Regions from separate parts of the Mus musculus genome. Here regions 1, 2, 3, 4 and 5 are each reported to be linked to region 6. The links are microRNA targets in miRTarBase. Many come from high-throughput screens and were not tested one by one. Region 6 holds a microRNA gene; each other region holds the end of a gene's coding sequence.
What was found. Region 6 holds the annotated microRNA mmu-miR-466j (UGUGUGCAUGUGCAUGUGUGUAA, at 2,269-2,291, shown strand). A microRNA usually pairs through its seed, bases 2 to 8, with sites in the 3' UTR of a target mRNA and lowers its output. Matches are read on the target gene's strand: a 7mer-m8 pairs with bases 2 to 8, a 7mer-A1 pairs with bases 2 to 7 and ends in A, and an 8mer does both.

Region 1: miRTarBase lists Zfp488 as a target of mmu-miR-466j. Seed matches in the 3' UTR shown: 8mer at 3,268-3,275.
Region 2: miRTarBase lists Lcp2 as a target of mmu-miR-466j. Seed matches in the 3' UTR shown: 7mer-A1 at 3,902-3,908.
Region 3: miRTarBase lists Bend4 as a target of mmu-miR-466j. Seed matches in the 3' UTR shown: 8mer at 4,756-4,763.
Region 4: miRTarBase lists Slc25a12 as a target of mmu-miR-466j. Seed matches in the 3' UTR shown: 7mer-A1 at 3,543-3,549.
Region 5: miRTarBase lists Foxk1 as a target of mmu-miR-466j. Seed matches in the 3' UTR shown: 7mer-A1 at 272-278.

The regions. Positions count from the first base shown.
Region 1 is chr14:33,965,640-33,970,714 of GRCm38, forward strand. Zfp488 (zinc finger protein 488) reads right to left here. Exons shown (of 2, transcript NM_001013777.2): 2 at 1,431-5,075. The coding sequence ends at 4,552. Among named protein-coding and RNA genes, the nearest start is that of Zfp488, 11 kb to the right of the region's middle.
Region 2 is chr11:34,090,346-34,095,420 of GRCm38, reverse strand. Lcp2 (lymphocyte cytosolic protein 2) reads right to left here. Exons shown (of 21, transcript NM_010696.4): 21 at 3,140-4,856. The coding sequence ends at 4,734. 4930469K13Rik (RIKEN cDNA 4930469K13 gene) reads left to right here. Exons shown (of 5, transcript NR_155520.1): 3 at 3,774-3,861. Among named protein-coding and RNA genes, the nearest start is that of 4930469K13Rik, 5.7 kb to the left of the region's middle.
Region 3 is chr5:67,393,556-67,398,630 of GRCm38, reverse strand. It overlaps Bend4 (BEN domain containing 4), which reads left to right. Exons shown (of 5, transcript NM_001164806.1): 5 at 181-5,075. The coding sequence ends at 395. Among named protein-coding and RNA genes, the nearest start is that of Gm33345, 9.4 kb to the left of the region's middle.
Region 4 is chr2:71,270,920-71,275,994 of GRCm38, forward strand. It overlaps Slc25a12 (solute carrier family 25 (mitochondrial carrier, Aralar), member 12), which reads right to left. Exons shown (of 18, transcript NM_172436.4): 18 at 3,351-4,434. The coding sequence ends at 4,236. Among named protein-coding and RNA genes, the nearest start is that of Dync1i2, 62 kb to the left of the region's middle.
Region 5 is chr5:142,455,999-142,461,061 of GRCm38, reverse strand. It overlaps Foxk1 (forkhead box K1), which reads right to left. Exons shown (of 9, transcript NM_199068.2): 9 at 1-4,586. The coding sequence ends at 4,306. Among named protein-coding and RNA genes, the nearest start is that of Ap5z1, 5.4 kb to the left of the region's middle.
Region 6 is chr10:60,958,534-60,963,608 of GRCm38, forward strand. Mir466j (microRNA 466j) reads left to right here and starts at 2,190; the gene lies at 2,190-2,311.

The DNA of each region.
Region 1 (5,075 bases), not on the chromosome of region 6:
TCCTTAAATAGGGGAGTGGTCTATTAGATTCATATCTCATATACTATATGGCCTTTAGACTATATCCCATGACTTGTAAAAAAAAAAAAAACAAAAACAAACAAGCAAAAAACAAAAACAAAAACAAAAAAAAAACCCTAAAAAACAAAAATTGTGAAAAAAAACGATGCAGTTGTGTTTAATCTGTTTGGTAAATAACTTACAGGTGCCTCTAGGGGGCGCCATCTCTTCCCAATGGGATGAAAGGAGGCCGCGACTGGAGTTGGGCTTCTCACACTTTCACCCTGAGTAGCAGTTCTCTTCCAGAACCCATGAATGAGTGAGGTTATGAGGGTCAGGCCTGGCTTCTGCCCAATACAGCAGCTGGAAACCTGTGAGAGCCAGAGGCACCGGGTGATGGTTTCTTTGCCTTCCACACTAACACGGTTCCGCAAGTCCATGCCATGTTGAGCGCGCCCCTCACATTACCAGAATGCAGTAAACGGAAGCCAGTCACACCAACCCCCCAGTCCTGCTCCAGGAAACCCTCCTCCTCCTCCACGCCACCACAGGAAGGCACCTATCAGCCTGCCTGTGTTTAAACAGCCGCCGAGTTAGTTGACAATTACACTGACTCCTGGCCTTTCTTACAGTCCATTTTCCAGCCTGACTCTGAGGCGGCTTTCCCCAGGTGACCGGCCCAGGCTCAATGCAAGACCGGACGCCAAGGTGCACCACCACCGTGTCTGTGCCCTGGCACCTTCACCTGCATTTGTTTGTCTAGTCACACAGTCATTTACACTTCGGACCCTTGACCTAAAGACCCAGGAATCTGTAACAAGTTCGGAACTAGGACCTGGCACTGAGATGGATATTAATTGTTTCCAAGATAAGGACAACACTAAATAGAAAACTTCAACGACGGTCTGAATTAAGCACTAAGAGTCCTTGGGTAGGAGTTGTTGGCAAAGGCCTCATCTAGTAAGTTGATCTGAGCTCGGAATGTTGTCTTTCCGCCTCATTTTCAAATTCTTTTTTTTCTTTCTTTCTTTTGCATCATTCTGGAGATTGAACCTTGGTTCTCACGCATGCCTGGCAAACACTCTACTACTGAGCCATAGCCCCCGGCCCCTGAGGACTTCTTAGATGCCTTCATTTTCCCAAGAATTCGTTTTATTTATGTGAGTGGGAGTGATTGTGCCACATGTGTGCAGGCGCCCCCTGAGGCTACAATAGGGCAGCAGACTCCCCGGAGCTGGAGCTGGAATTACAGGTGGTTGTCGCTGCCTGACCTGTGTGCTGGTAACCCGGCTTGGGTGCTCTGGAAAACCAGCAAGCACTGTTAACCACTGAACTATTTCTATACCCCTAAGAAGCCATAATTGAGTTGTGTGTAGGTGGCTGCCTGGCCTGTTCAGGCTGTTATAACACAATACCATAGACTGAGTGGCTTATAAACAACAGGAATTTATTGTTCTGGATCATAAAGGGGTCGTGTGTATGCAGATGTAATGTCTCTCGTGAGGGCCATTTTCTAGTTCAGAGATTGCTCTTTTTAGCTGCGTCTTCAGAGAGACAGTGAGGAGCTTGCCCTCTAGAACCCATAAAGCATCAGTCCCAATCTCATAACGGCCCACCTTAGAATTTTCACATAAATTTTGAAAAACAAAAATATCCAGACTATTTTTTTTATTTATTTAATGAAAGACCTAAGTTGGGAAGTCATGGTTTAAAGTGCCTTCTCGACACATGCTCCACTATGTTCATAGCAGCCTTATTTATAATAGCCAGAAGCTGGAAAGAACCCAGATGCCCCTCAACAGAGGAATGGATACAGAAAATGTGGTACATCTACACAATGGAGTACTACTCAGCTATTAAAAAGAATGAATTTATGAAATTCCTAGCCAAATGGATGGACCTGGAGGGCATCATCCTGAGTGAGGTAACACAATCACAAAGGAACTCACACAATATGTACTCACTGATAAGTGGATATTAGCCCCAAACCTAGGATACCCAAGATATAAGATACAATTTGCTAAACACATGAAACTCAAGAAGAATGAAGACTGAAGTGTGGACACTATGCCCCTCCTTAGAATTGGGAACAAAACACCCATGGAAGGAGTTACAGAGACAAAGTTTGGAGCTGAGATGAAAGGATGGACCATGTAGAGACTGCCATATCCAGGGATCCACCCCATAATCAGCTTCCAAACGCTGAGACCATTGCATACACTAGCAAGATTTTATTGAAAGGACCCAGATGTAGCTGTCTCTTGTGAGACTATGCCGGGGCCTAGCAAACACAGAAGTGGATGCTCACAGTCAGCTAATGGATGAATCACAGGGCTCCCAATGGAGGAGCTAGAGAAAGTAGCCAAGGAGCTAAAGGGATCTGCAACCCTATAGGTGGAACAACATAATGAACTAACCAGTACCCCGGAGCTCTTGACTCTAGCTGCATATGTATCAAAAGATGGCCTAGTCGGCCATCACTGGAAAGAGAGGCCCATTGGACTTGCAAACTTTATATGCCCCAGTACAGGGGAACGCCAGGGCCAAAAAGGGGGAGTGGGTGGGTAGGGGAGTGGGGGTGGGTGGCTGTGGGGGACTTTTGGTATAACATTGGAAATGTAAATGAGCTAAATACCTAATAAAAAATGGAAAAATATAAAAATAAAATAAAAATAAAGTGCCTTCTCGCTGGGAGGAGCAAGTGGCATGAAGAAGGGAGACAGGAGAGGGGGTGGGACTTCCAGAGGACACCTGGGAACCCAGCATGCTTATTCTGAGGGACTGTGTCACTAACAAGTCCTAAGTCACCGGCTTTTAAACATCTTTGAACTTGTAAATCTGGCTGCAAAGCAACTTGTGTCAACATCAATTCTAAGCATCTTCTGTATGCTATGACAGGACCATTCCCCTTTCCAAAGAGATGGCATAGAAATCAGTGCCAATGTGTGGGCTCAAGGTAAGTGTGCTTTTGACAGATGCCACCTCTTGTTCCTCAAAGCCAACTCAAGAGTTGGCAGGAGCAAAGCCAGAGTCAGGCAGATCGTTCATTTGTTAACTTATGTGTTTATTCTTTCTTTCAACAGATACCTGTTGAGTGTCTGTGTTGTTCTAGATGATGGAAATACACCAAAACTCCCTTTTATTCTAGAGAGGAGAGCTACAGTGGACAGGATAAGTCGCTATGCTATTTAGTATACAAGATGGAGAAAAGTGCTCAAGAGAAGAGTGGTGTGTGTGTGTGTGTGTGTGTGTGTGTGTGTGTGTGTGTGTGTGCACATGCGCGTGCATGAGCACGTGTACGTCTTGTAAAGTAGCAAGGTTAAGTTGGAATTGAACTTAAGGAGCCCAGCCTCAAAGTTCCAGACCTTGAGTCACTTAGTACGCTCCATGGCCATGCTAGCTAAGCAGACATGAAGCGGCTGGAAAGACCTGAGCTCAGATCTGGGGCTTCATGGGATTTTGTTCTTCCACCAATGCTCCTGACAAAGTGGTGTTGGGAAAGTCAATAGCCTTTTTAAGTTGAAATTCATCTGCAGTAGGATGAGAATTCACTGTCTGTGTCCTACAGATGAGAGGATGTGAAGTGCCGCCTGGGGACCTCATTCCGAGGACCCTCCACTTGCTCTTTCCTGCCCTACTCAGAACCACAAGGATGAATGGCACCTGGATAAAATCCAGAATAAATGATGTGTGTTCTGTTTCTCTCTTCTCACACATTCACAGTGTGAATACCCAGAGAATGGGGGGAGCTGTATTACTAGCCCCCACTCCTTTGTTAGGGTTTCAGCCAGGTCACTTTTTCACTCGGCCCCTTTAGGCCTGGATTTACGTAGGGCCAGGGAAACTTAGGCTTGTGACCCATTTTCTCGGTATTTTCCACTCTGGGCTTCACTATATCCAGCATAATGACCCAGCAGCAAAAGGGCCTAGACTTGAGTGCAGCTTGAGCTATGTCCACCAAGCCATCCCCAGCCTTGTGGCAGAGAAACACAATGTTTGTTCATCCCTGAGATTTCATGAATGACGTAGCTGGCTAGTGCAAGCAGTGACTATACAATCCATATGCTTAATGCTCACAGTCAACCAGGGAATAAGCGGGCCACTCTGATGACATCCTGCTAACACACCACTTTCAAAATAAAAGTGAGGTTCAGCAAGCTAAAGGAACAGGTCCGAGGTCAGGGCTCATAGTTGAAAGCATAGATTGAGTGCAGGCTTGCTCATCAGCAAAGCCACGATGTCATACTCATGTGCTTCCTTGCAGAGTACTGGGGACAGAGACAGGAGCAGCCCTGTTCCCTGAGCCATGGGTCCCACTATCCCATGAGTGAAGCTTATCACTTTAATGCATGACTAAACATATTGTGCATTAAACACATCACGAGGCCTGGGACACCTGACAAATTATAACTGAGCAGTTCATGTCTGGGAAGCAAAAGGAACAACCTTGAAGAAGTCTATGACAACCTTCTCAGCAAAGGCCGGTAGTCACCTGTGCCTCACCACTGTGTCCTGGATACTATGGCCATCGGTTTCCTCTGTAGCCACCTGCTAACTATGTGAAGCCATATGCCTGGACAGATGGTGGCGCTCCCGGAAGTACTCGTGGCAAACGGGGCAAGTGAGAACTTCCTCTCTTCGTTTCTTAGAATGTGGGTCAGGGCCCACGTGTTCCCTTTTGTGATGTGACCGCATGTGGAAGACCAGGTCAGCTGTCAGGCGAAAGGCTAGGTTGCACTTCGCACACCAGTTCTGAGTAGACAAGCCCAAGGAGGAGAGTGTGGGCGGCAAGAGAGCCCGGGAGGCTGTGGAGGAAGGAGCTGAGGATGTGGGGGCTTGTACCTGGGTATGCTCCAGCCATGGTGTGGGAGCCCCCTGGAAAGCATTGCAGAGGAGAATGTTCTGTGACAATGTGTGCAATTTCCAGAAATCACCCATGAACTTGAAAGTTGACAGATGAGCCCAATATGGGATGTCCACAGTGGTGATGAGTCCTGAGAGCTCCCATGAGCCCTCTGCACTTCCACCAGCCAGAAGCATGGGAGAGCGCTTAGGTTTCTCTGCTGGGCGTTTGG
Region 2 (5,075 bases), not on the chromosome of region 6:
AAGCTTTCCTCTTTAAGCATATTTGGAAGGGTGGGGAGTCAATAAGAGAGTGCTGTCTTCACAAATAGCAGAAACTGAAAGGGAAAAACAAGCCATGCCTTTTGCTATACAGAGAGAAACACTGACACACTCACCCACCATGATTTAGTCTGTGTTCTACTGCTTCAGCACTATAGCCAAAGCAACCTGGGAAGGAAAGGGTTAACCTCACCCTACAGCTTATAGAACAGAGACCACATGGAGCCTATTGGCTTGCTTCTCTTGGTTTGCTCAGTTTCCTTTCTTACACACCCAGGCACTGCCCAGGGATGGCACCACCTACATTCACCTATCATTGAAGAAAATGTCCCCACACGCTCATGTCCAGACCAGTCTGCTATAGGCAGCTCCTCAATTGAAATCCCCTTTCTCTAGATATGACAGGTTTTTGTCATTAATAAAAACTAATAGGCACACCACCATGGGGTGAGGAGACCAACACACACACACACACACACACAATCAAAGAAAAAGAGACTTAAGAAAGTTGAAGATAGACATCTGTCCCGATGCTTTGCATTGCATGCATGTGTGAGTTAGGTAGATTTAAGATATATTGAAATGGGGCTGGAGAGATGGCTTAGCAGTTAAGAGCCCTGACTGTCCTTCCACAGGTCCTGAGTTCAATTCCCAGCAACCACATGGTCACTCACAGCCATCTGTAATGGGATCCAGTGCCCTCTTCTGGTGTGTCTGAGGACATGCATTAAATAAATAAATCTTAAAAAACAAAAGCTATATTTACATACTGTTACAGTGTAGGAAGATAACTGAGTGGATGGGTGAAGAACCTTTTAGTCAGCTTCCACATTATACCTGTGGTTAACTCACAAATGGGTCACCTAGGTAGGAGTTTGATCAGTGAATGTCTGACAAAAGTCATTAGAAGTTAGGAACTGACTCCTTAAAGCAGTAAGAGTTGGGCTGACACTGGACACTCCATCTTCTCCCTTACTCAGAACTCTCCCAGATCCTGCTCTGTGACCTCAATCTTCAGTTTGGTCAGCCCAAGAAGACAGAGGACCACAAAGAGGCAGAAGCAAGCCATCCATTTGAAGAGCCTGAGATTCCAGATGGAGCACCTGCTTCTGTCAGATTATCTGACTGAACTAACTCTCTCTCTCTCTCTCTCTCTCTCTCTCTCTCTCTCTCTCTCTCTCTCTCTGTGTGTGTGTGTGTGTGTGTCTTTTTTGGATTTCTGGTTTTTGTTGACTTAAAAATCTGGAAGAACAGCCAGGCGTGGTGGAACACGCCTTTAATCCCAGCACTTGGGAGGCAGAAGCAGGCGGATTTCTGAGTTCAAGGCCAGCCTGGTCTACAAAGTGAGGTTCCAGGATAGCCAGGGCTACACAGAGAAACCCTGTCTCGGAAAAAAAAAAAAAGCAAAATAAATAAAAATAAAAAATCTGGAAGAACTAAGTTTAGTGATATAATTTAATTATATAATTTAGTGATATAATTTAATATAATTATAAGTAAGCATGCCATCTTGAAAGCTGTTTTTTTGTTTGCTTGCTTGCTTGCTTGCTTGTTTTACTGCCTCAAAGGGCAATTGATTGCACTGATGCTGGAAGTCTGGTGTTGGGAATTGGCCTATCTGTATTTGCTGTGCTGTACACGGGCTTCCTTCCTCCGTGTCCTGGTAGAAGGAGGTGCTACTGCAGCAGCATACAGCTTTGCCTTTGGGTGACCCTAAAAAGAACTGATTTTCTGTTTCAGAGAGGGGTCCTGAATGACTTAATTTTTCTAAGATATTAATCTGTAGGCAAAGAGCAGAGCAATGACCCAAGCTGGTGTCATGAGGCTCATGGCTCAGATAGGCAAGACTGTAGCAGAAGAATAGAACTGAATAGAATTCAAAGAAAGCACACGTGTTGCTGCTAGTCATGAAAACAGAGATTCCCCGATTGCAGCTATAGTGGTGCAAGAGAACACCTTACCCACAACACTCATTTTTGCCCCTTTGTTCTAAGAGATTCAAATACATTTATGTCTCCTGTCATCTACTGCTTTTCTTTCTTGGTGCTGTGAGGAACATCTGATAAGAGTCAACTTAAGAGAAGAAGGGTTGATTTGGACTTATACTTTGAGGAAATACGGTTGATCTTGGCAGGGAAAGGAAAGTGAGGCATCTGGTCATACTGCAGCCACCATTTTGAAACAGGGGAAAAGACAGCAGTGCTGTGCTCTATGTACTCAACCCACATTGAGAGTGTGTCTTTCATCTTCATCTAAACCTCTCTGTAAACATGCTCACTGATACACCCTTAAGTGACTCTAAAACCCACTTGAGTTGACAGTCTTAACCATCGTAACTACCAATAAATGCTTTGAGATCTACCATGTCCTTACTTTTCATTACCTTTAAATACAGAGTACCGTAAAGCAAGGCACAAGTTGAGCTTACTCTATCAGAACCTGCAGCATCCTGCTGCCCTCTCCCGGGACCTAGCTCAGTATCTCACATAGTGCAGTCGCTGCAGATCCTTATGGACAGCCTCCTGAGGAAACGTATACAAGCTTTTCAGGTTTCTCATTTCCAAGTGCTGGATCCTTCCTAAATTGAGAACTCTTGCTTTGTAAGGGCAATGTTTTGCAGAACAACATTATTATTGTCACTGAGTAAGTGCTTCGACCTACTCCTTATCTTAGTGTGTCTTCAGTATTAACTTGGTTCCTTTTAAAAAGGTTTTCTTAACTCATGAAAATAAAAGTATAGAATATTCCTTCCTACTTGAAAATTGTGTAGGTCAGAAATCAAACTTTTGTCAATAAAAGTCACACAATGATGCCACGCAATGATGCCAGGCATCCCATGAGAATGAGATTGAGAGAAGAAGGGATGTCACTGCTCCGTGTGTACCAGGTTCATGTTGCTAAACATAAACAATACTGCAAATTGTCATCCCGCTACACTGACGATATCTTGATAAAGCTTACAGTAGTGAGGGGAAAGTCTGTGAATTGAGAATTTCTTTACTGTTCATAACTTATTGAACATCAGAGCTCAGACTCACCAGCCTTAAACATGCTCAGATCATGCACTTTAACCTGCAGCTGGGCAGAGTCCCCTAACACAAACTCTATTTTGTCTTAATATGGAATGCATTATTTAATTTATTGAGCGTTCATAGCAGCCCCTCCACAAAAAGAAAAAAATCAGCTTCAACATAAAACATGTAAAGTACTGATGGGTGCCCTGGTGATCACCTGCTAGCCAAGACTCTTACATTTCATAGCATCTGCTGCTAGCCCCAGAAAAGCAAAATTCAAACTTTGACGTACAGTTCGTGCTTAACAAGCATCACTTCCATGCCATCATAAAGTCAAAAATGGCAAGTTAAACCAACATAGGCCAGAAATCTCTCTCTACCTTTTGTTAAGTGTGATTTCAAAACTGAAGGAGATCTGAGGTGCTTCAAAGGGTTTAAAAGCCAATCTGAGGACAAGATAGCAGTTTTGCAACATACTTGTTGGGCTAATAAAGCAGAAAACCAGAGCAGAGGTTTGGATAGAATTCTCCAAAGGCCCACATGGTAGAAGCTTGGCCCCCTGCCCCCGACCAGGGCAGCATTGGGCAGTGGTGGAATCTTAGGAGATGAAGCCCAGTTAGGCAGAAGATGCAAGACATGGAGGGAAATGCGCTTCTTGTCCTTTCTTTTGTTTCCCAGTCACCATGAAGTGAACGGATGTCCTCACATTCTCACTTCATGATCCTCTATGAACTGTTGCAGGCCCAAAGGAACAGGAACAGGCGACCATCCCAGAAAGTCAAACTGTCTAACTGAAGGCCAGCGAATGCAAGTATCATCTAGTAGGAAGGTAGGCTCGAAGTGTGTGTGTGTGTGTGTGTGTGTGTGTGTGTGTGCGTGTGTGTGTGTTTACCAAGCATTGCTCGTCTTCCCAGGAGACCTTCAGTACTAGAACGGAGGCCACCATGGATGGAGACATGAGGGTCTGTGATAAGAGAAGCAACAAGAAGCCCAGCATGTTTGACAGCAAAGCTGCATCACTGAACCTAAGCCTATTTTCTTCTTGTATGTTCAGAAAGGTAGCTTACATTTGCTTTAAAATAAAAATATAACAGCAAGGACCAAACAACGTTGTCTTAAGGATCGAAAAAAGTAAAGCAAACGATAACTTTAATCCCAGGAAGTTATCCCCACATGCATTAATCTCATTACGAAAGGGAACACATAAAAACACACCCTGTAAAACCAAATAAGAAACGATGGAGTTCTATTTTTTTTTTTTGGAGCCTCTTAAGTTATTGCTGCTCCAAAATGAATTTTAATCATTTTAAGTTGTGTAAAAAACAGAACATGCCTCGGCCTGACAAAAGATTCATTATAAAATATATCAAAAATGACCAGTTTCAGTACTTTTTCAGCTTGCTCCACATTATTTCTGTACTGTATCAAGTACTGTATTTTGGGATGGATGTTCAAAATCTCATGTCTGCCATGCACTCTTAGACTTCAAATGTGAACATGATCACTTCTATACTCTATAAACATCAAAGAAAATAAATAAATCATGTGGTATTCAACAATCTTCAGATACTTTAAAAGGGCAGGGCAGAACTCTGGGCCCGAGTTAACAGTCTACTCCTAAGTGCTCGGCGATTTGCTAAGGTCACGTGATTTCGCCGCAGTGACCACCAAGTCAGAAAGGCTCATTTCTTGGCTAACTTGCTACAGACAGCCTGCAGCGTGTGTTAGTGTGCACTGGTATCTGGACCCTCGATTCTTTCCATCAATGAGCAACAGCGGCATTTTCCTGAAGTAGTCAATAATATCTGATACAGACAGGAAGTCCTGGAAAAGTCAAACGGGGAGATAAGTCAGCAGTGGAATGGACAGTACGCATTTATCAGGTAGTTTAGAGATTTCCTCCTCAATAGCCAACCAACTGTAAGTAAAAGATAGAAATAGAAAGTTGGGCCAGAGAGAACCTCAGTCTTCTGCAAGAGTAGTGAGTGCTCTTAGTTCTGAGCCATCTCTCATCCCATCTTATGGCATTTTAAATATTGTTTT
Region 3 (5,075 bases), not on the chromosome of region 6:
ACGAGAACACTGGCGTGGGGTAGGTTGGATGGAGTGAGTGGTGCGGTCATTGCATTGCTGGGGACCTTCATGTGACTCCGCTGATAGTTGCCTCTGGTGTAGGCTAAGCTGCCTTCGTATCATCTGTCCAAAAACCAGCTGTTTTCTCTCTCGTCTTTACTGTTGTTTCTGTTCCCACAGAATTCATTAGGATGCACTGTACCTCAAACCCTGATTGGTGGATGCCCTCGGAGGAGCAGATAAACAAAGTGTTCAGCGATGCTGTAGGTCATGCCCGACAGGGGCGGGCCGTGGGGACTTTCCTGCACAACGGTGGCTCGTTTTATGAAGGGATGGATCACCAGGCTTCCCAGGATGAGGTCTTCAGCAAGACACAGGACGGATCTGGGGACTAGTGGACACAATCGTCCCAGTGCTGTGTGGTTTCTTGTGTAAGAGCTCCAGTTGTGAATGTCCATTCCCATGTCACTTAGAGTCCAAAGCATGTAATTCCGTCACACTTTACACATTCTCGGACTTAAAACTCTTGACCCACTGCCACAGTTCCCAAACAGGAATCCACTTTAGGATTTTCGGGGGGGAAATCTCTAGCACCTGCAGTAGATTTGGGGTGTGTTATATCACAGAGGAAAATGTACATTTGGCATGAAGTCATTTCTAGCTAGGCATTGAGGGTGTCTCCAGTCCCAGATCTTCAGGGAAGCCTGGCCCCCTGAGCAGAGCTGGTCTCCAGGGAAGGCTCAGTTAGTGTTCCTGCACATGGGCGAAGGGAAGACGAGCAACTGTAACAAGTAAGCTGTCTTCGATTTCCTAAGACTTCATTTCAGAGTTCCCAGCAAAGACACAAGCTAGGTGACACTGTAAGCCTCCATCCGTTTTAAACGCTGACGGGAAGAATCCAGAACAGAGGCCATGTCTATAGAGAGCGCGTAGGTGTGGACGTCGGCTACTTTTTCTGTTACCTTACAGACAGAACTCACTGTGTCCATCAGAAGGGCAACCTCCTCGCTGTGGTTGACAAGCAGGAGATTCTCTTTATATCTTTAGGAAACATCCAAAGATTGAAAACCATTTTCCAATGCCTCGTTTCATAAGTTCCTAACGCACAGCTTCCGTAGCCTTAAGTCATACTTCGTTGACACAGTGCCGGGGTGGTGGGTTCAGCGAGAACTCCCACAAGCTGGCTGTTGAGTAAGATCAAACGCAGGGCATGAACGACGGCATCTGCTGTTGATCAGGGGTCTGGTATTGTAGACGTGGAGCGTCAAGGCCGTTCTGACAACTATGCAATGGCTGGTGGGTGATTTCTCTGAAATTTGAGGCCTTTGCTGGGCTGAGTGAAGGTTTAGCATATATAAAACTTCTGTTTCCCATTGTCATGGATGAAAACGCCCCATCCAGCTGTGCACATCCTCCTCGGTCTAAGCTCTGAGTTACCCTTCTGCTTCCCTGCTTAATTTGTGGAATCCGTATGTGAGGTTAGTGATGCCCTGGGAACCACTTCCTAGTAAAGGCTACAGAGGTGCTATAATTGTTACTGATGGAGATTACGCTTTGGACCTGCGGAGAACACTGGCTTTATTAAACAAATCAAGATTACTATGTTCTTTGTGGAACCAAAAGCTAAATGGGCAGCGTTTGTGAAAATTATGAGTGTCATCTACAAACACAGCAAAGAGCTTTGAAAATGGGGTAGAAATTCAGACTGTGAGTATCCGTTTAGAAAGGACTTTTGGGGAGGCCAGTTTTGTCAGAATAATCACGCATCCTTTAGATTCAATATTTAGCAAATATTGAACAAATCAGCTGAACAGTTTAGAAGTAAAAGAAATTAAATGGGTAAATGAGCTGTCATTTACAGTGGACCCAAGACCAGTGTCTTTGGCTGTCCAAGAGAAAGGGTTGTTTGTTTGTTTGTTTGTTTTTTCCTAACTATAAAAACTGTCTCCGGATAACATCCAGGATAGCATTAATGTTGATAGCTTCTTGCTGGTCTGGGGCACTCACTATCATCTTGTTAAAATCCTCATCTGTAGCACCGAAGACTTCTCATACTGCTGTTTATCTGCTCTGCTGAGTCCCGTTCCTCTCTTTGGTGGTTTATTTAGTCAGTAAGCTTGGACAAGCTTCCCTTGGTTGTCTTGTAGTCTTTAAATGATCCATCGAGTTTTCTCTTCCACGAGTTTGCAACTTTTACATTAAGTTTGGGAAGTTAGCAGGAGCTAGCCTCAGGGCCTTAGAGCCTTAGCATAAGGAATCAGACAGTCCCCATGGAGAGGCCTGAGTTCCTCCTCCACCTCTTTAAAGGCTCTGATCTCAACACCAACTCTGGGTAGCATCATGCCCTGGGACAAGCCTTTGTCAATGCAGCTTCTAATTGTCATCTCTGCATAGGCGGACATTAGCTTTAGTTGACTAAGAGCCTGTATCACCTTCACTATCAAATGTAGCTTTAAGGAAGGGGGTATCTAAATCATTTGTGGGTACACCTACACCAAGGGTTCTTGCCACTTGCTTCAGATGTGCAGAGGGCACCCGCTGCTTCCTGTACTGTATTGCAAGGTCTGGATGATAATAATAAGAAGTGCAGTGGACTACTGATGAGCTGTTGTCAATTACATCTGGAGCATTCGTTCAATATGATGTTGAAAGGGGTGTTTCTTGTGTGTGATCCAAGGTCTGGGAAGTCTGGCCTAGGAAATCTCCAGTGTCGGGAACCTAGCTGTTGTGCATATGTGGAAACTAAGGACTACAATGCTGACCTCCGCCGTAGCAGTTCTCACATGTAATTACATGAGGGCCTAGAATTAGCCTAGTCAAGTGTCCCTTTTTTCTGCCTGCTTATGTGATTGCTGTTTTCTTCAGCTTAGTTTACCACCTGATACCAGCAGTCAAACACTTAGGATTGTTTCAGCCTTCTGCTGGCTCTTTCCCTGTGTGGGCATCCATTTAAGGCTGGGGTGCTACTCAAGTCATAGTGGTTTCCTGTGTGGTCCCCTGACTATTAAGTCAGCCTGCAAAAGGTGCCGCTTCTGGCAGAACTCCCTGTTAAAGCTGACTACCCTGATTTCCCCACATGCCTTGAGTTTGTTGTCTAGAGGTCTGAAGATGTTGTCAAATTGACTTGGTTTGCTTTTCCACGTCATTCTGGCAGTCAGACACATTGTTTTCGTGATGCAAAACCTAGTCCTCTGTCAACTTTTAGAATTACCCTGAGCCGTTCAGCGTTGGTTGGAAGTAGACTTGAGTTAAAAATATCTCAGGATGCAGCTGTGCCCTGTCATTGGTGAGGAAAATGTGGTTGCCGGGCTGGTGTAACTGAATGTGGCGTTTTCGTCAGTGATTGGGTAGGTCCGGAGTCCCAGTGTCCAAGGCTCGATAGTTCACAGTGGTGCTTTCCTGGTGTATCCTTCATTTTCGAAATTAAAATGCCTGCTTCTCACAAGTGTTTAACCTCAGGCACAGATCTTGCCAAGAGAATGATGGCCCTGGAATGAGCTGTCAGGGGACTGAGACCAGGGACCTGTGGAGGGGAGCAGAGTTTTACATTTGATAAGGCCCCATTTCTCATCAGCCCATTTGTGGGTGTTGAGCCTCTCGTGGTATCAAGAAAAGTGTAGCTGTTTCTACAAGTCCTTAGCCCTGTTCCTCGTCGGTCACAGCATTTAGGGGACTGTCACCATGTGTTTCCTAAGGCTTCCCTATGGTAGAGAGTGGAGGAGTAAAAGCATGCTGATCTCTTGGTCAGGTGGTGAGGGAAGCGCGTGCCTCTGCCAGTCGCTAGTGGGCTGTTCCTGTAGACTGCCCCTTACCCTTCAGTGATCTGCACCGAGGCCATGCCTTCGTCAGGATGACAAGGAGACAGGTTACTGCAGTCTTACTTGGTGCAGCTGGATGCATGGCATCAGGTGGTCGGCACTGGCACAATTGGATTGTGGTTTTCTCTCAGTCCAGTAATGATTCTTGAATGATTTGCTGTCAACACAAAATCTAAACAATAACTCCTAAACTTAGGAATCTGCAGGTGTGTGGTTTCTGCGTATCCCTGCCATTTAATGACTTGTGCCTCTTCTGCAACTGAGAAAGTGGACAAAACTCCTGGGAAGGTGTGAATTATGTCCAGAACGCAAACATGACCCTCATTTGAGTTCTGTGTTTTGCGGTACAGGGAGTCAACCATGTATGTGCTCTAGACTAGCCCTGATACCCACTGGCTACCTCCTTAGTTTCTCTATAGATCAGTTGACTTTTTTTTTTTTTTTTTTTTTTTTTGTAGTTTGAAGGTCATTTTTGGTGACTTAGAATTTGAAGTGTATAATTTCCTCAGTGCGGTATCATCTCGCAGTACAGGTCTGTGTTAGTCTGTGACAGCTTTCACATGTGGGTTTGTAGAAATGTAATGGAAAGTGGGTTTGCACATACCGTGTGAGTCTTCCTGCTGTGTGCTTAATGTGGCAACACTTGCCAAAGCTGCTTGGCAAACACGTCAAAAGGGATGCTTGAGTCACAGCTCTAATGCAAATGTGTCGCAACAGCAGTGTGTGTCATTATGATGTATTTCTGTAAACACAGTGATGGCTCCTTTCAGTCATATAAGTACTGGATAAAAATAACCACTTGAAACATTGGAGGGAAATGTCACTTAACTGATGGCAAAGCTACTCGCATTATCAGCCAGGGGCTTCTGTGTGTGTTTGTGTTTGTGTGTGTGTGTGTGTGTGTGTGTGTGTGTGTGTGTGTGTGTGCGCGCGCGCGTGCACACAAAATGGAGAAGGAAGAACTAACATTGGCAATGTGGAGGGCAAAAGGAATACGCCATCGAATTAGAGGCCACTTGCATTCCCCACACTATATTGGATTTTAGGAAATACTGGGAGAACTGGAATTCCCACACTAAATTACTGGCCTTGTCAGTTTGACTACTGAAGGCACTAGATTACCAAAAATTTTTGATTCTAAGCTTCATAGCTGACTGCAAGGGCTGTGTTCTTCTTGTTGAATCACCATTCCCCAAATTGCAACAAAAGTACATCTGCTAGCGATACCCATTCAAAAACCTGGGTCGCTCTGTACAG
Region 4 (5,075 bases), not on the chromosome of region 6:
AGATATTGTAGTGAACCCCTAACACTGCATGCACATGCATGTGCACACACACAAATGCACATGCACACACAGAGAGATTATCTATAGTATTCAAATGCATGAGTTTCCTAAAAGCACATATAACAAGAGATGTACACGACTCCTTTGGTGAGCACAAACTTTTATTAAGACATGAAAAATATTTAAGTAGAGATATAGTATGTTCCTGGATCAGAAGCCCCCATCATGACACAGATTCTTCCAAAGCAGCTTATAGATTCATTACTGTTTAAATTATCAGTGCTTTTAAAACGGTTTTGATAAGCTGATAAAATATACATAGAAGAGCGAAGAACCAGGAAGAATCATAGCTCTCAAACAACAGGAGAGACGAGTACCACACTGTGTATCAGGAGCGTGCATTGTACTGGATACAGAAATGAACAGAGTAGGGCGAGAACCTGCATCTAAGACAGGAGAGCCCTACAGCAAGGAGCCCAGAGACAGTGAAGCCCAGGCTGATTCTTAGTGAACAACAACGATGATGCTCCAGAGCCGCTGGGAAAGGACAGGCGTTCAATAAACAGTGCTGGCAAGCCTGGCTGCCAATCAGAGAAACAAAGGTCTGCCCCACATTGCCAGAGACACGAGGAGAGGTCCAAACTGCATGGAACCTGAATGTGAAAGGCAACACTCTAAACTGTATAACAAGAAAATAACTTTATCATTTTTACCTAGAGGTCTGGTGTTTACCCTCTGGTGGTTCTGGGGAGTGAACCCAGGGTCTTGTAGCCGCTAGGCAAGCATGCTGTCTCTCAGCAACAGTCCCAGAACAATAAAGAATAATTTTTTTAATGAGATGCTCAACAAGCTAACAAAAATACCAATACATTTGGACATATTAAAATTAAAATGTTAGTATATCAAAACCATCATAAAAAGACATGGCACAAAGTAGGAAAATGTGTAAGACAAACACATAGTAGTATCCAAAACATGAAGAATATCATGGGCTGAAGAGATGGTTCAGCAGTTGAAAGGACTTTCTGCTCTTACAGAGAACCTGGGTTTGATTCCCAGCACCCTCGTTCGACATTTCACAATCACCTGTGACTCTAGCTCCAGGGGGTCTGGCACTTTTTTGAGCTCTGGAGCCACTGACATGCATATGGTGCATCACACACACACACACACACATTTTTAAAAAAGAGGCACAGTGAAGAATAGATGTCTACATTATCTATAGCAGCGTTGTCTATAATAATCACAAACTGGGAAAACAAATGTCAGTCAAGACTAAGATCGAAAGTAAAGAATAATGCATCCTATAATAGAATGGACAAACTCTCATATGTATTTAGCACAAGAAGTCTCAATTTCATTCATACAAATTTCAAAAAAATAAATAAGAATAGGTCAGGGCTGGCAAAATGGCTCCGGTAAAAGCTCTTGCTGCCCAAACCTGAAGACCTGAGTTCAAATCCCGGACCCCACATGGAAAGTGGAGAAAACTTATTCTCAATAGTTATCCTCTCAACCACACATGTGTTGTGACATGTGTACATATTCGCATACACATAGACATATGTGCATCATTGATGCACAAGAAACAAGTCAAGAGGCCAGCCTGGATGAAAGTAGATCCAAGAGGCCAGCCTGGACCACGGTAGATCTTGTCTCAAAAAGGGGGAAGAGGACCACAGTATTTAAGGATGTATATGTGAGCAGGAAAACCAAGCAGAAATGAAGACATGGTAAGGGGATGGGGTAAAGACTGGGGAGAAGTGCACGGGTACTTCTGGCTGGTTGAGAATGTTGTATTTCTTGACCTGGTCATCGCATGAGTACTATTTTAACCTGTATGCACTTTTCTGTGTCTATGCCTTAGATACTTCATATGCCTTCTGTATATTTTACAAAAAGAAAATGTACAGATGACCAGTAAAAATGAAAAGACAGCGAATGTTCTGCCCACACCTACAATTCCAGCACCTTATTGGGGAGACCAAAGGTTACCACAGGTTCAAGGCTAGCCTGATCCACATAGGGAGTTCCCAGACTCTGAGGTTGCAAGAGTGAGACCCTGTCTCAAAAAACAAACAAACAATAAAAAGACATTCATTCAAGCCCATTAGCAATTAGAAAAATAAAAACTGCAACAGTGACCTCTGTTTATGATCTGCCTGTGAACCGGGCAATCTTAACTTGCCCATGGGGCAGGAGATTGAGACCTCTGTGAACAGCAATGTGGCGAGATGTATACAAAATAAAAAACCCGTCTATTTTATGAATTAGTCCCTAACAAATACTAATATACAATAACATATCATGACACACACACAGAGATATTCTCCTCTAACTACAGTGTTGTTAATAATAATGAAATGACTATTTTAAAAAGGCTTCATAATCCATACAGTGAAATAATACACAGCTACTAGAAACAGGATACACTTTCTATAAACTGATGTGGAAAGAGCTCAGGGACATACTAAGAAAACCAAGTCACGGAATCACACATACATTGCATAGCCCTGGTTCTAAATATATAAATATGTACATATGGAGATGTATGGAAAACAGATCACAAATTTATGCTCTAACCTCTCAGCAAAGGATGACAGGAATGCTGGTTGAAGAGGAGGTAGCGAGGGCACTTTGTCATCGTCTTACACACACACACACACACACACACACAGACACACACACACAGACACACATGTAATTTCATGTCCTTGAACTACTTGTATAATTTTAACAAGCATAGCAAGAACAATTAATTATGCTGTGTGTTCAGTTCTAATGGGACTAATCCAACACATTTAGAAATAGCCAGCTTTCAAATATCTTTTGTTCTTAGGGTTTCAAGAAAGCTCAGAGTTGCAGATACAGGGTTGTCAGCCACCAACTGGTGAGCACTGTGAGGGGCACTTGGTGACTTGGGCCATCTCCAGGTTCACCTCTAATGATATCTGCATATATCCTCACAGCCATGGCCACAGCCGTGCTTTCCCAGAGCTATTCGCTAAAGTTAGTAAGTCCTGATGTTGCCAGCTATCAAGTAACAGCCACAGTAAATGTGGCTGTAGGTCAGAAGCAATTGTTAAAGAGTAAATATGGGCATGTGTGTGTGTGTGCACACACACACGAGAGAGAGAGAGAGAGAGAGAGAGACCTTCTGAGGAAGTCATCTCCATCTGAACTCCTAGCAAGGACCCAGGCTCACAAAATCACCATGTAGGAACCTCCCCGCTTCCCTCCCTCACTCCACCCGAGTTCCTTCTGTAACAAAATATGCATCCCCTAGGAGCAGGCGAGTGCAGACAAAAAAGCCCCGAGAGGAGACCTAGGAAGGAAACCAACTCCATGCAGACATTTTGGTGTGCTTTTATTTTTGATTCGTATCATACTTTACGAAGGGAAACTTCCAAACTTTACTCTTGCAACATCCTGACCTTGACCTTGCTGCATAGGAGAAAAGCAGAACTAAGCGAGCCTTGCTGGAGCCCATCCCGTTCGTGTGTGTGTGTGTGTGTGTGTGTGTGTGTGTGTGTGTGTGTGTGTGTGTGCGCGCGCGCATGAGGAGCTGCTTCCAGCTGACAGGAGGATTACACTCAGCTACAAACGACTGGAAACACAGCAGCCCGTGAGTCACCGGCTCATCCTCTGGCATCCACGGGCAAGCACCCTTCCCACGCGTTTCTTATTTAATGTGGTGAGCATTAAGTTTCGCTCTGCCTTGTATCAGCAAATACCTTCCTAGTCGCGAATGGAAAACAAACTGAAACTGGATACATTCAAACATGGCTGCTTGATTTCCATAAGTCATCAGGAGGAGAATGAATTTAACTTTAGTACATTTATTCTTACATGATTCATAATAAAACACTTTCAAAACCTTCTGTACAGTTCAAGCCACTCAGAACAGCGTTTCATGTTTATAAACGTGATTTGTTGGGATGAGGTGCCGAGGTGTCTCTGTACAAAGATGTACAATATGTACAGTCACTGTAGGTACAAGCTGTGCGAAGCAGAGTCTAGAACACGTAATTCATGCCAAGGCTCAGAAAACATTTCAACACGTAAAGACTAAAGCTTGAAACTGCACTGCGGCTCTCCCTGGGCGTATGATCACTTTATAAACAATACATGTATAGGTCGTATAGAAAGTGGTTGACCCCAGCGCTGACAGTACCATGCAGCTGACTGGACACGGTACCGCCCGTTCTCCTGGGCCTCGGTCTGTACTTGCTATGTCATTGGGCTGCTGCTGCCGCCTTGGGCTGAGCCACAGCTACGCTAGGAGACTTAAACTTGGGGAGGTAAAGGCCAAACTTGTTTTCAATGCCAGCGAAAGTGGCCGTGGCAAGTCTGTAGCCACCGATGTGATCGGGGTTGGCAGGAGGGAGGTCTGCGATGCGGGACTTTGGCGTTGGTTCTGAGCCAGAAGGTTTGCTGTGAACAGGAAAAAGCAGACCGTTAGGGATCTCAGGGCTTACACTTTGAGCGGGGTCTGTGACAGCCACACCCCATGGAGAAGGCTCTCTCAGCTCTCTCCATGTCTCCTGCATCAATCATGATATCCAGCGTCACCACAGCATTGCTTTCACATACGTCATAGAGAAGACAAACGGCCCCACCCCCACTGCTTATGAGCAGACTTGAGGGCAGAAAAATAAACGGAAGAGAAAATGCACTCCATTAGTAATAGTCTTTGGGAAGCTGGCTATTTGTAGATTTTTCTATTTTCTATTACTATGCAGGAAGCATACATGAAATGTAAAGGTATATGTATTGATTTAATTTTAAAGCTTCTTGAATAATGGGCTCATAATGCTTATCACCAAAAGAGAAACAAATTTAGTTCTTGCTTCTACAATCTCTCAAGACACAGTATTTGTACGCTGGGATGAGAAAATTGCTGTCCTTGCATCTTTTCCGTATGCTGGTCGCTCCACTACTTGGATCAGCAGCTATTCCCCTACTGAGGCTTTCAGCAGGATCACAGGGTTATGACATAAAGACACGCAGTGCCCAGGCTTCTGCCCAACAGTTAATAATTGCTCGCTTGCTTTGGGTACAACTTCCCTGCAGAC
Region 5 (5,063 bases), not on the chromosome of region 6:
CAGCCAGTCCCAGGGACACAGGGGACAGTGCTGAGGTTGCTCTAATGGTGGTAAGTGCTTCACATATGGGGTTGTGGACCACACCTGGCCACTGTCTGCACTCAGGCTTTTGGGGTGCCTGGGCCCCAGATTCCTCCACACTGGTCACCTGTGAGTAGTCACAGGAACAGGATTCCAGAGGTAAAGCAGCAGGCCCTTCTAGTCCTCTAACTCTCACAAGGCAGGTGTGCGTGTGTGTGTGTGTGTGTGTGTGTGTGTGTGTGTGTGTGTGTGTGTGCGTGCACACACAGACAAGGACTTAGGGGAAGAGGTCCTGGGGGCCCTAGGCAGCCTGTGTTTGACAGCTTAGCCCAAGTACAGAAACACATGCTTTTCATTGTGACTGAAGCACTCTAAGTATTTTGAGAGAGAGAGACACACACACACACACAGAGACAGACAGACAGACAGACTCCTCACTGAGGGATCTTTACCACTGCTGGCTCGGCACCAGCTGTGAGGGCAGCCCTCAGCCTCCAGTCCCACCGGCTTACCTCCCCTTAGCTCTTACCAAACTGCTCTCCCTCTAGCTGGCCGCTTCCTCCCTTCGAGCATCCTCTGTCCTGCCTCGTGCCCAGATGGTACCTCTGGAGAAGGCATGCGGCTGGCCTCATCTGTGGGACAGGCCTGCCCAGGCTGTTATGCCCCGTGCCCATGGGGGGGAGTGTGTGTGTGGGGGGCAGGTTCTAGAATGTTCCCTGCAGTAGAGCTGAGGCCTGATAGAGGGAACCTTGGAGCAGTGAGGCAATGCAGAGGAGCAGCCAGGACCACTCAGGGGGCTTTTGTTCTTCACCACGAGTAGAAAACCTACTTTTCCTAAGGAAACATCTGTGGTTGGTTCAAAAATGTTCCCTTGCCAAGCAGCTGTGACGTTAGGGGTTAGGGAGGGCAGAGAGAGAGAGAGACGTGCCATATGCCAGTCTGTGGGGGCACCTAGGCCACACCCTGCTGTGTCACCAGTGTAGCAGCTTTTGGTACAGAAACAAACAAACAAAAAAAGACAAAACGCAAACAGCGCTGGGCCATGGTAGCATGTAGGCCATCACCCCAGAAATTCAGGAAGCTGAGGCAAGAGGACTGGGAGTTCAAGGCCAGCCTGGGCAGCTTTGTGAGTCCCATCTCAAGTTTAAAAAATCAAAATGGCTGGGAGTACAGCCAGTGGTAGAGCACTGGCCTAGTAGCTCACCTTGCAGGACAGACCCAAACAAACAAAACCCAAAACAAAACAATCTAGAGCCCAACAAGCAGGTGGGTGCAAGACCCACCCTGAGTTCATGAGAACTCCCAAGATGAAAGGGGGCATTAAATGGGGAGCAGGACTGAAGCAGCAGGCAGAAGGCCTCTGTTCTCTGCCCCGCCCACCCGGCCCAGCAAGCCAAAGTCCCTGTCAGAGGGCCTGCTCTGAAGGGAAGTGGTGTCTGCAGTGGCAATCTTTGGAACAGCTTGACTTATCCTTTTTAATATTGCTTCTAAGCAGAGGTATTCTGGGAGACCGGAGGTGAGGATATAGGTGGCCGCTCTGTTCCCCCTGACCTAGCCTCGGGGTACCCTGTGGCCATTTGTGGTGACTTTGCCTCTCCTGGCCAGGATGTGATGTTTCCCACACATGAGGGACCTTTCACTAGAGCTGAGACGCCACCCCTTTCTGACTTATTCTAAGCAGGCACTGTGCAGTTCGGATGGGGAGGGAGGGACTGGGCGAGCAATGTCACGTGGGTGTTATGAAATTTGAGGATTTTGAGGAAGAACAGGAACAATCCACCCGTTTCTCTCTATGGGGAAGGGTTTCTTCTTACATTTCACTGACCTTTAACCCCCACCTTACACTGTTTTACCACTGCCCAAGGGGTTCCTTTGTCTATAAAGGCTTCACATCTGTTCCTGAATTGTTCCCCCAACCCAGGGCTTAGTGGGGTGCTCCAGGGTTGCCAGCCATGGGCCACACAGTGCGTGGACATGGCCCTCCTGGCTCAGAGCTTGTGGGAGCACGCTCTGGTGCCAGCTTCTGCCCAGCAGATGACCAAACCCACTCCGCAGAGCAGCAGCACTAGTCTAGCCTCCTTGTAGCTCAGGCTGTCCAACCAGGCCGTCAGGCCGTGTACCGGGACAGTGTGTGTTCTCTCTCTCTCTCCATACCCTTCCACGCCCCTGTTAATGGTGAAGATCTGCCTCAGAGCACGGAGCCCACGTTTCAGGAACTGGGACAGCAACCTGCTCATGACCATCCACAATCTTAATCTGCCTTGGAGGGTGACCATGGACAGCCCTGGAGTAAAGGGTGATGGAGGGAAAGATCAGCAGCTGGCACCAACGTCCCTTGTCACCTCAGCCCACTACGCAACTCAGATCTCCACCCCATTCGTTCTTCCCTAACCCCAGGCTCACACCAGGCACACAGAGAGAAGTTCATGCCAGGTACCAAGGGAAGATGTGAGACAGAGCCAGCCCTCTGCCCCCTCTGAGGGGAAACCCCTCCCCCAGCCACCATCACACCAGCCCCACTTCTCTGAACCTTTCCAGGCAATAGGCAGGAGACCTCCAAAACACTGGCTTGAAGCCGAGTACTACAGAAATGACTGGCTGGGGAGCTTGGGAGATAGCTCAAGAGAGGAGGCAGGTGCTCCGCCCTGGTCCCTGATGTGTGGGGGGCACTGGTGGCTTCAATGGCAGCAGCCATACATCGGAGCTTGGACTTATCCATCCCGGTCATCTGCTCTCCTGTGACCACAGCCTCCAGGTCTGGAGTCCCTTCCAGCAAAGGCAGCTTGTCCAGCCTGCTCTCTGCCCACAGGGCCCTTGGGCCTCTTCTGACCGGCACCAGGCAGAGAAGGCGGCTGACTGGTGGGTGGTTTGATACCAACGACAGGGCCTGGGGCTCTGTCCAAGTTGTTGCCAGCTGCTTACCGACCACCCTCTAGGAGGACCAACACTGAGTTTCTGGCTGCTTTGGAGTTTCCTGTCGCACAGCCCCCATGACTGCTTCTATAAAATCAACTCTCATTCTCACAGAGAGAAACATTTGATGGCTCCTGCTCACGAGACTTGGTGTGGTGTATGTTAAAGTGCTGTTGGTCACTTGTCCGGCATGCAAAGGGACCTTCCCCGGGCGTCCAAGTCCTCAGCTGACACCCACGCTTTGGTTCTTGCTGCACTGTACTCAAACTTGGCACCGACTGCTGTCCGGAGAGGTAGTTTCCTTTCCAGAGGATAACGGTCAGGTAGAAAAGAGGGTTTCCATTTTCAAACTGGACAGGGTTCTCAGTTAACTGGAATGGGGGTGGGGTGGGTGGGGGAGGAGACGGTGTGAGCAGATCACCGCCCAGATCCTCTGCTGTCTTCCTGCCGCATACCACCCACCATCCATCATCCTCCTGCTGAGCAAGTGGCTGACCGACTTCCCTTGCAGCTGGCTCAGGCTTCCCTGGAGATCCGTTTGTAGCTTGCAGCTCTCGACTCATTCAGTGCTGTGGGCACTGGCCCTGGGCTGACTTTCAACCCAGAGCTCTTTGATCCATCAATGTGGGAGCCGCCCATCCTTCTTGGAGTTATCAGGGAGAGCGGCATGTTCACCAGGGCCTGGTGTGGTCGAGCGCAGGGCCTGGTGTTGCTTGGCTGCCTACAAAAGGGAACCTCAGAGACACATGGTCTGCTCTGTGTGTCTCAGGTTGGAGATGAGCCCAGATTCCATATTTAGCTGAAAGAAATATTTAGGGTCCAAAGCCAAAGCAGATCTCCCTGACCCCAGTTAATGCCACAGTCTCTGTCACTTTTGGGGAGAGGGCTCTGTATCCTAGCCTGTGGCTGGGAAGTTCTTGCCATTCTGTTTTCTGGTCTATTCCCGGATCAGTCACAAATAGGAAATCCGTGGACCCACTCTCAGAGAGAGGAGCCTGGGTTTGCACTGTGCTTCTGTCCAGGCCTGGGGCTCAGGCTCTTGTTGTGGGCGCTGCCTGGGATCCATTCCTGAGGAGCTGGGCTAGATAGACCTTCTCCCCCAAGAACTGGGGAGAGGCGATGGCATGAGAGAGGGGTAAATAAACACACAGAACCCCCAGATTCATACAATCAAGTTGTCTGTACGTGTTTATGTGTTTGTTTCAAACCATGGGAGGACAGGAGATAAAAAGGAAACTGTCCGAGTGCGGCGGCCACCCACATGAGGGCTGCAGGCTGTGATGGGCTTTTCCACTCGGTCCTTGAATGTAGCTGCTGGCCACTAGGGCTCCTGTGGCGTGAGTTTCACTCCACCTTCCTGCAGGCGACACTTCACTCGCCGGTCCCCGGGCCCTGAGGGCCGGTGGCTGCCATAGCTGTGGGCTGTGTGGTGGCTGTCCCACCGGGTTCCTCTACCCGGGACCTCTTGACCTCGGGCTCTCCGCTAGAAGAGGCAGATGTGGTAGTGGAGGCGGCTGGGGTTGGCGCTGCATTAGCGGCTACTGAGACGGCTGCTGCTGGCTCCTCAGGCCCCACCTCACACACCCGGGTGATGACCACTGGAGTGGATGAACTTGCCTGGGCTGCCAGGAGCTGCAGGGGGCTGCTGAGGGCTGGCGGTAGGAAGAAGAGGTTACTTAAGGGTCATCACTATTTGACCACTAACTGACCCGAGCAGCAAAGCCAGAGCCACAGTTCTTTCTCTGCCCGTTCCTCACACAGACTCCTTCTCCCCGCCGACAGCAAGTTTGAGTCAGACACCCAACACCCGACTCCACTCAGGGCCCTTTTCTTTGCTGCCTCTGTCACCCTGAGGATGCCCCTCCCTCCCCTCTTTGCCTCTGTGATGATGAATCTTTACATCACCTTAGTGGGATTTAAAATTGCAATGGAAACAAACCTCTGGGCCTGTCTGTGAGGGGCTTCTAGATCAGGGTCACGAAGAGGGAAGACCTATCCTGCCTGTGGTGACAACATCCTACACTGGCTGTGGTAACACCGTCCTGCGCTGGCTTCCAAGATTGACTAAAGTGGAAAGCAAGCTAAGGACCGGCTTCCTCTCCCTCTGCTTCCTGACTGCTGCCATGCCT
Region 6 (5,075 bases):
GTGTGTGTGTGTGTGTGTGTTCAGGTGTGCTCACTCATGTAGAAGCCATGGATTGACGTTGAGTTCATTCTCTTCTGCCTTCCACCTTACCTTTGGAGACAGGGCTTCTCACTGACCCTGGAGCTCAGTACACTGCAGGCCAGCACAGCCCTGGATCCGTCTGTCTCTCCCTCCCAGCACTAAGGTGACAGATGTACCTCGCCAGGCCTGGCTTCTCACATAGGTGCTGGGAACCTGAACTCAGATGTTCGTACTTGCACAGAAAGTTCTTTACCCACCGAGCTATCTCCTCAACCTCACATATCCTTAGTCCTGGGTGAAGAAGACTCAGCCATTGTCCCAGGGGGCAGAGGTGACACAAGGTCCTGGACCTGAACCAGAACCACCAAGCAGACAAGAGTTGGGGTGGGGGAGTGAGGAAGAATTAGATAGTCTCCCAGGAACACGAGAAAGGGGCAGCAGGGAAGGGGTCTTTCCTTTGGAGCCCATCCTGCCTCAGCTCCCTGACTGACCTCAGACACTCAGTGTAACTGGAATTGTCATGGTTGGGATCTGAAATGTCCCCCAGCAGGCTCATACTTTGAATGCTTGGTCGTCAGCTCGTGATTCTAATTTGGGGAGCTGTGGGAACTTTGGAGGTAGAGGTTGGCTGATGATATAGGTGACCAGAGGGAGGCAGATCTTTGATGGTGATAGCGGCTTCTGGTTTTAGAGAACTCTCTGCATTCCTGGTCCAGCCTGAGCTCTCACAGTCCCACTACCACGGATCAAACCGCTTCACCACACCTATGCTACCACAATGGATTAAAATCCCCCCAAAATCCCAAGCGAAAATAAGCCTTCCCTTCCTTCCTTATGTTGTTTGTGCTGGGCATTTGGTCATAGCGACACAGAGTTACACAAAGATGCTGAAGCTGACAGGAGTTAGCACTGCCTCTACGATACAGGCCCTGCCTAGTGGATGATTGAGCCAGCCCTAAACAGCAATGTCAGCTGTTACCCTCGGTGAGAAAGGTGCTTTCCAGATCTTGATCACATGAGATCTAGGCAGGGAGGGTGCCTGAGGTATAACCCAGGCATTTCCAACTCTGCGTATGTGGGGAAGCATCCAGACATTAAGTGTTGGGTGTATCCATGCCTGGCCAGGCTCACCTGCCTCAAAGCTGCATCAGTGGTCCAGGGTGTACCACTTATTCCAGTGTGTATCAAGGATAGAGTCTCCCCAGGATGGAGACTTCCCTTATGCCTGACGAGGTTTGGAGGAGCTCCTTGCTCTGCTCTGTCCACTACTATAGATATGTCAAGGAGAGGCAGTCCACAGACTGGGTAATTAGATGTCACCATGTGAACTGAGGACAGGAGGCTCCTCATAGAAGCAAACCCAAGATACTCAGTGCTGGAGAGGACAAGGAGCCCTGGCAGAGGCAGAGCTGTCGAGAGAAGCCACAGCCAGGAGAAAGATCTCGCTCTTCTAGGTAACCCCAGCCCTGCCTGAAAGTCTGGTAACAAACAGGCAGGAGATGTCTCTTCTTAGACAATCCCTTGCCCACAGCGAGAAGCTCCTCATGACCTCACGGTGGATCCTACATCTTAGCCAGGCATGCAAGGCTTCCTCGAGCTGGCCACCGCTACCAGCCCCCTGCCATTCCCCTTTAGATGTGAGGAAATACTCAGGAGCTTAAGGATTAGTGGCAAATTTAACAGCATGGTGATAAAGAAGCTAGGACAGGGCATGATGACAGAAAGACTTTGGAAAGTGACGGTACTAGCATCGTGACTGTCAGCATCGCTACCATCATTATCCTCTCAGGCAGCAGCGTCTTAACACCATAATCATCATGATCACCAGCACCACCAGCACCATCATGACCAGCACCATCATCACCATCATATCATCATCATCACCATGGTCATCATCACGACCACCACCACCCTCACCACCATCATATCACCATCTCATCCCAGTGTCACCTCTGGTTGTCTTTCCTTAATCTGGTACTTCTTCTTAGATTGTCCGTTACTCCTTTCTCTTGTATAAAGTGAGATAAATAAGAATGGACTCTCTTTATCCTCCATGCCCTCTGCCCCATGCACGGCCACCATGAGACATACACTCAGGGAACGCAGGAAGCCTACCAGGGTCCCTGGATATTCTCTTTCTGTGTGTGTGTGTGTGTGTGTGTGTGTGTGTGTGTGTGTGTGTGCATTCGTGTGTTTGTGCATGTGTGTATGTGTGCACATTTATGTGTGTGCATGTGTATGTATGTGTGTGTGCATGTGCATGTGTGTAATTGTGTATATATGTGCATACATGTGTGTGTTTGTGTGCGTATGTTTAAGTGCCTGTGGATGCGTGTGTGTGGGTATATGTACGCGTGTATGTGTGTGCATGTGTGTATGTATGTGTATGTGTGTGCGTATTTGTGTGTATCTGTTCATGTGTGTCCCCGTGTATAGCTGTGTGTATACATGTCTACATTTGTGTATGTGTGTGTACATGTGCTTGTGTATATATGTTTGTGTGTATGTGTGCATGTGTATATAAGTGTTTATATGTGTGTATGCATGTGTAAATGTGCATGTGTGTATGTATGTGTTCATGTTTGTATGTATGCATGTGCACTCACATGTGCTTATGTGCATGTGTGTTTGTGTGTGTATGTGTTTGTGCACTGTGTGTGTTTGTGTGTGAGAGAGAGAGGCCTACCTGTCCCTTCTCTCTTCTCCAGGTGCCACACATCCCTAGCCCCCCCATTCCCTACTGAGCTTCCCTAACACCCCAGGCTTCATCTACCCCGGCTTCTTTAGACATCTTTCTTTTCCCGTGTTCATTGCTATGTCCCACCCACATCTCCTTGTTAGCTGACTCATGACATGTTTCAGAAAACAGTGTTATTGTCCCCTAAGCTACTGTCACCCTGTAGTACACTTTCTCTCCCGTGACAGACAGTGGCACTGACTCAAGGCCACACTTCTGGGTCCAAGTCACTTTCTGAAAATGTCTTTGGATGCGTCCTCCCCGCTTTGGGGGATCTTAGTTGTCTGTCCATTCATGGGAAGGGTCAGGGTGTGGAGAGCGCCCTCAGTCCCTTTCTGCCTCAAGCATCCATCTTGACCAGGCAGAAGAGGGACTTGGGCCTGCCCACTCAGCTCGCTTTCTGTAAATATCCTGTGGCAGTCTGAGGGCTCTTTCGATATTCAGATCTGCCATCTTTCTAATCTTCAAAATCTTGGCAATGTCTTCTCCATTCTGGGTGGCTGGTGTGAGGGTGGGCTGAGGCTGGCAAACCCCATGTGGGTGTTCCTGTCAGCTGAGAGGCCAGAGCAATGGGTTTCCAGTTCCGCCACCCTCTACTGAGAACTCAAACTCCTGCCGAGAGCCTAAGGGGAGGGATATTTACGGTTTAATAACTGGCCTATTGATTCTCATTTATATGCCGCCAATGGGGCTTACCCGAGGAAGCGAAGGTGAAAGGGATGTTTGTAAATACGTTTCTGGCCTGCCCATCACTCAGTCTGCCAGCCTCACCTCTGAGCAGGAGGTGAGCTGGGTTAATAGACTGCATGCCCTCTGTTTAGCTAAGCCCCAGCACACAGCCTGGGGACATCAGCCACACAGGCCAATTGTGCACCCTCCCGAGCCCCAGTCTTTCTAGGTTCCCTTCAATGTTGGCCACATACTTCCACAACCACCATCACGACTCTCCAAGAACAACAGGACATAGTAACCCACTTAATGGGTAAGAACGCAAAACCAGATTCCAGCATTCTAGGCCAGTGCGTGACCACCCCCAACCCTGACCCTTACTTCCTGCACTCCTAAAATGAATTATCTGAAGTCCTATGGCCAAAATTGCTGAATGGACAGTTTGGAGAAGCACTCTTAGCCACCTTTAGGTAGGTGACTGTGATGGTTTGTATATGCTTGGCCCAGGGAATGGCACTATTAGGAAGTGTGGCCTTGTTGGAGTAGGTGGGTCACTGTGGGTGTGGGCTTTAAGACCCTCCTCCTAACTGCCTGGAAGTCAGTCTTCTAGCAGCCTTCAGATGGAGATGTAGCTCAGCTCCTCCTGCACCATGCCTGCCTGGATGCTGCCATGCTCCCACCTTGATGATAATGGACTGAACCTCTGAACCTGTAAGCCAGCACCAATTAAATGTTGTCCTTATAAAAACAGCCTTGGTGATGATGTCTGTTCACAGCAGTAAAATCCTAAGACAGTGACCAACCTCTGTACACGCTACCATAAAGCTGTGACCACGATTCCTTGTGAGGCTTCAGGTCAGCAGGCTGATGGGATGAGGCTTGTGCCATTAAGTAGCCCCACTGTGGTGCCTGTGGTGAGCTGGAGGCCTTTCTAGCATTAGAACATTGGAGGAGGGCCGGGCGTGGTGGCACACACCTTTAATCCCAGCACTTGGGAGGCAGAGGCAGGCAGATTTCTGAGTTTGAGGCCAACCTGGTCTACAAAATGAGTTCCAGGACAGCCAGGGCTACACAGAGAAACCCTGACTTGAAAAACAAAAAAACAAAACAACAACAACACCAAAAAAAAAATTGGAGGAGGACCTTGCAGAGGACAGCTGGGTCCTTGCATCACCCCATCAAGCTGGGCCGGGCTTGCTCTTATGCATGGTGTCCAGGTTCAAGAGAGAAGTAGAAGCTCTACGCACCTGTATGAATCTCCACTTACCTCTAGTTTGCGACCAAGCCATTGGCCAGAGAAAGAGATGTGGGGAGGGCCTTAGTTAAAGCCACAGACTCAGGCAGACAGGGGGCACCCAAGCAGCTTCCCCAAGAGCAATGCTCCCTCCACTGTTCTTCCACAATCTGCCTCTCCCCTTGCACTGAACTGAACACAAAGAAATGCCACCATCGGTCTGACCCAAGTCTAGGCTACAGGTTACCTCATTGGAGAAGCACGAGGCTTAATCCATATGGCTACAGCATGTAAGACACCTAGTGACGTAGCTCTGTAGGGGACTTTAGAGCTGAGACTATCCCACAATGGAAATGGCTCCTCTGAGTGATAGTGAGTTCACCATCACCAGGGTGTGCAAGCAGAGGCACAAGG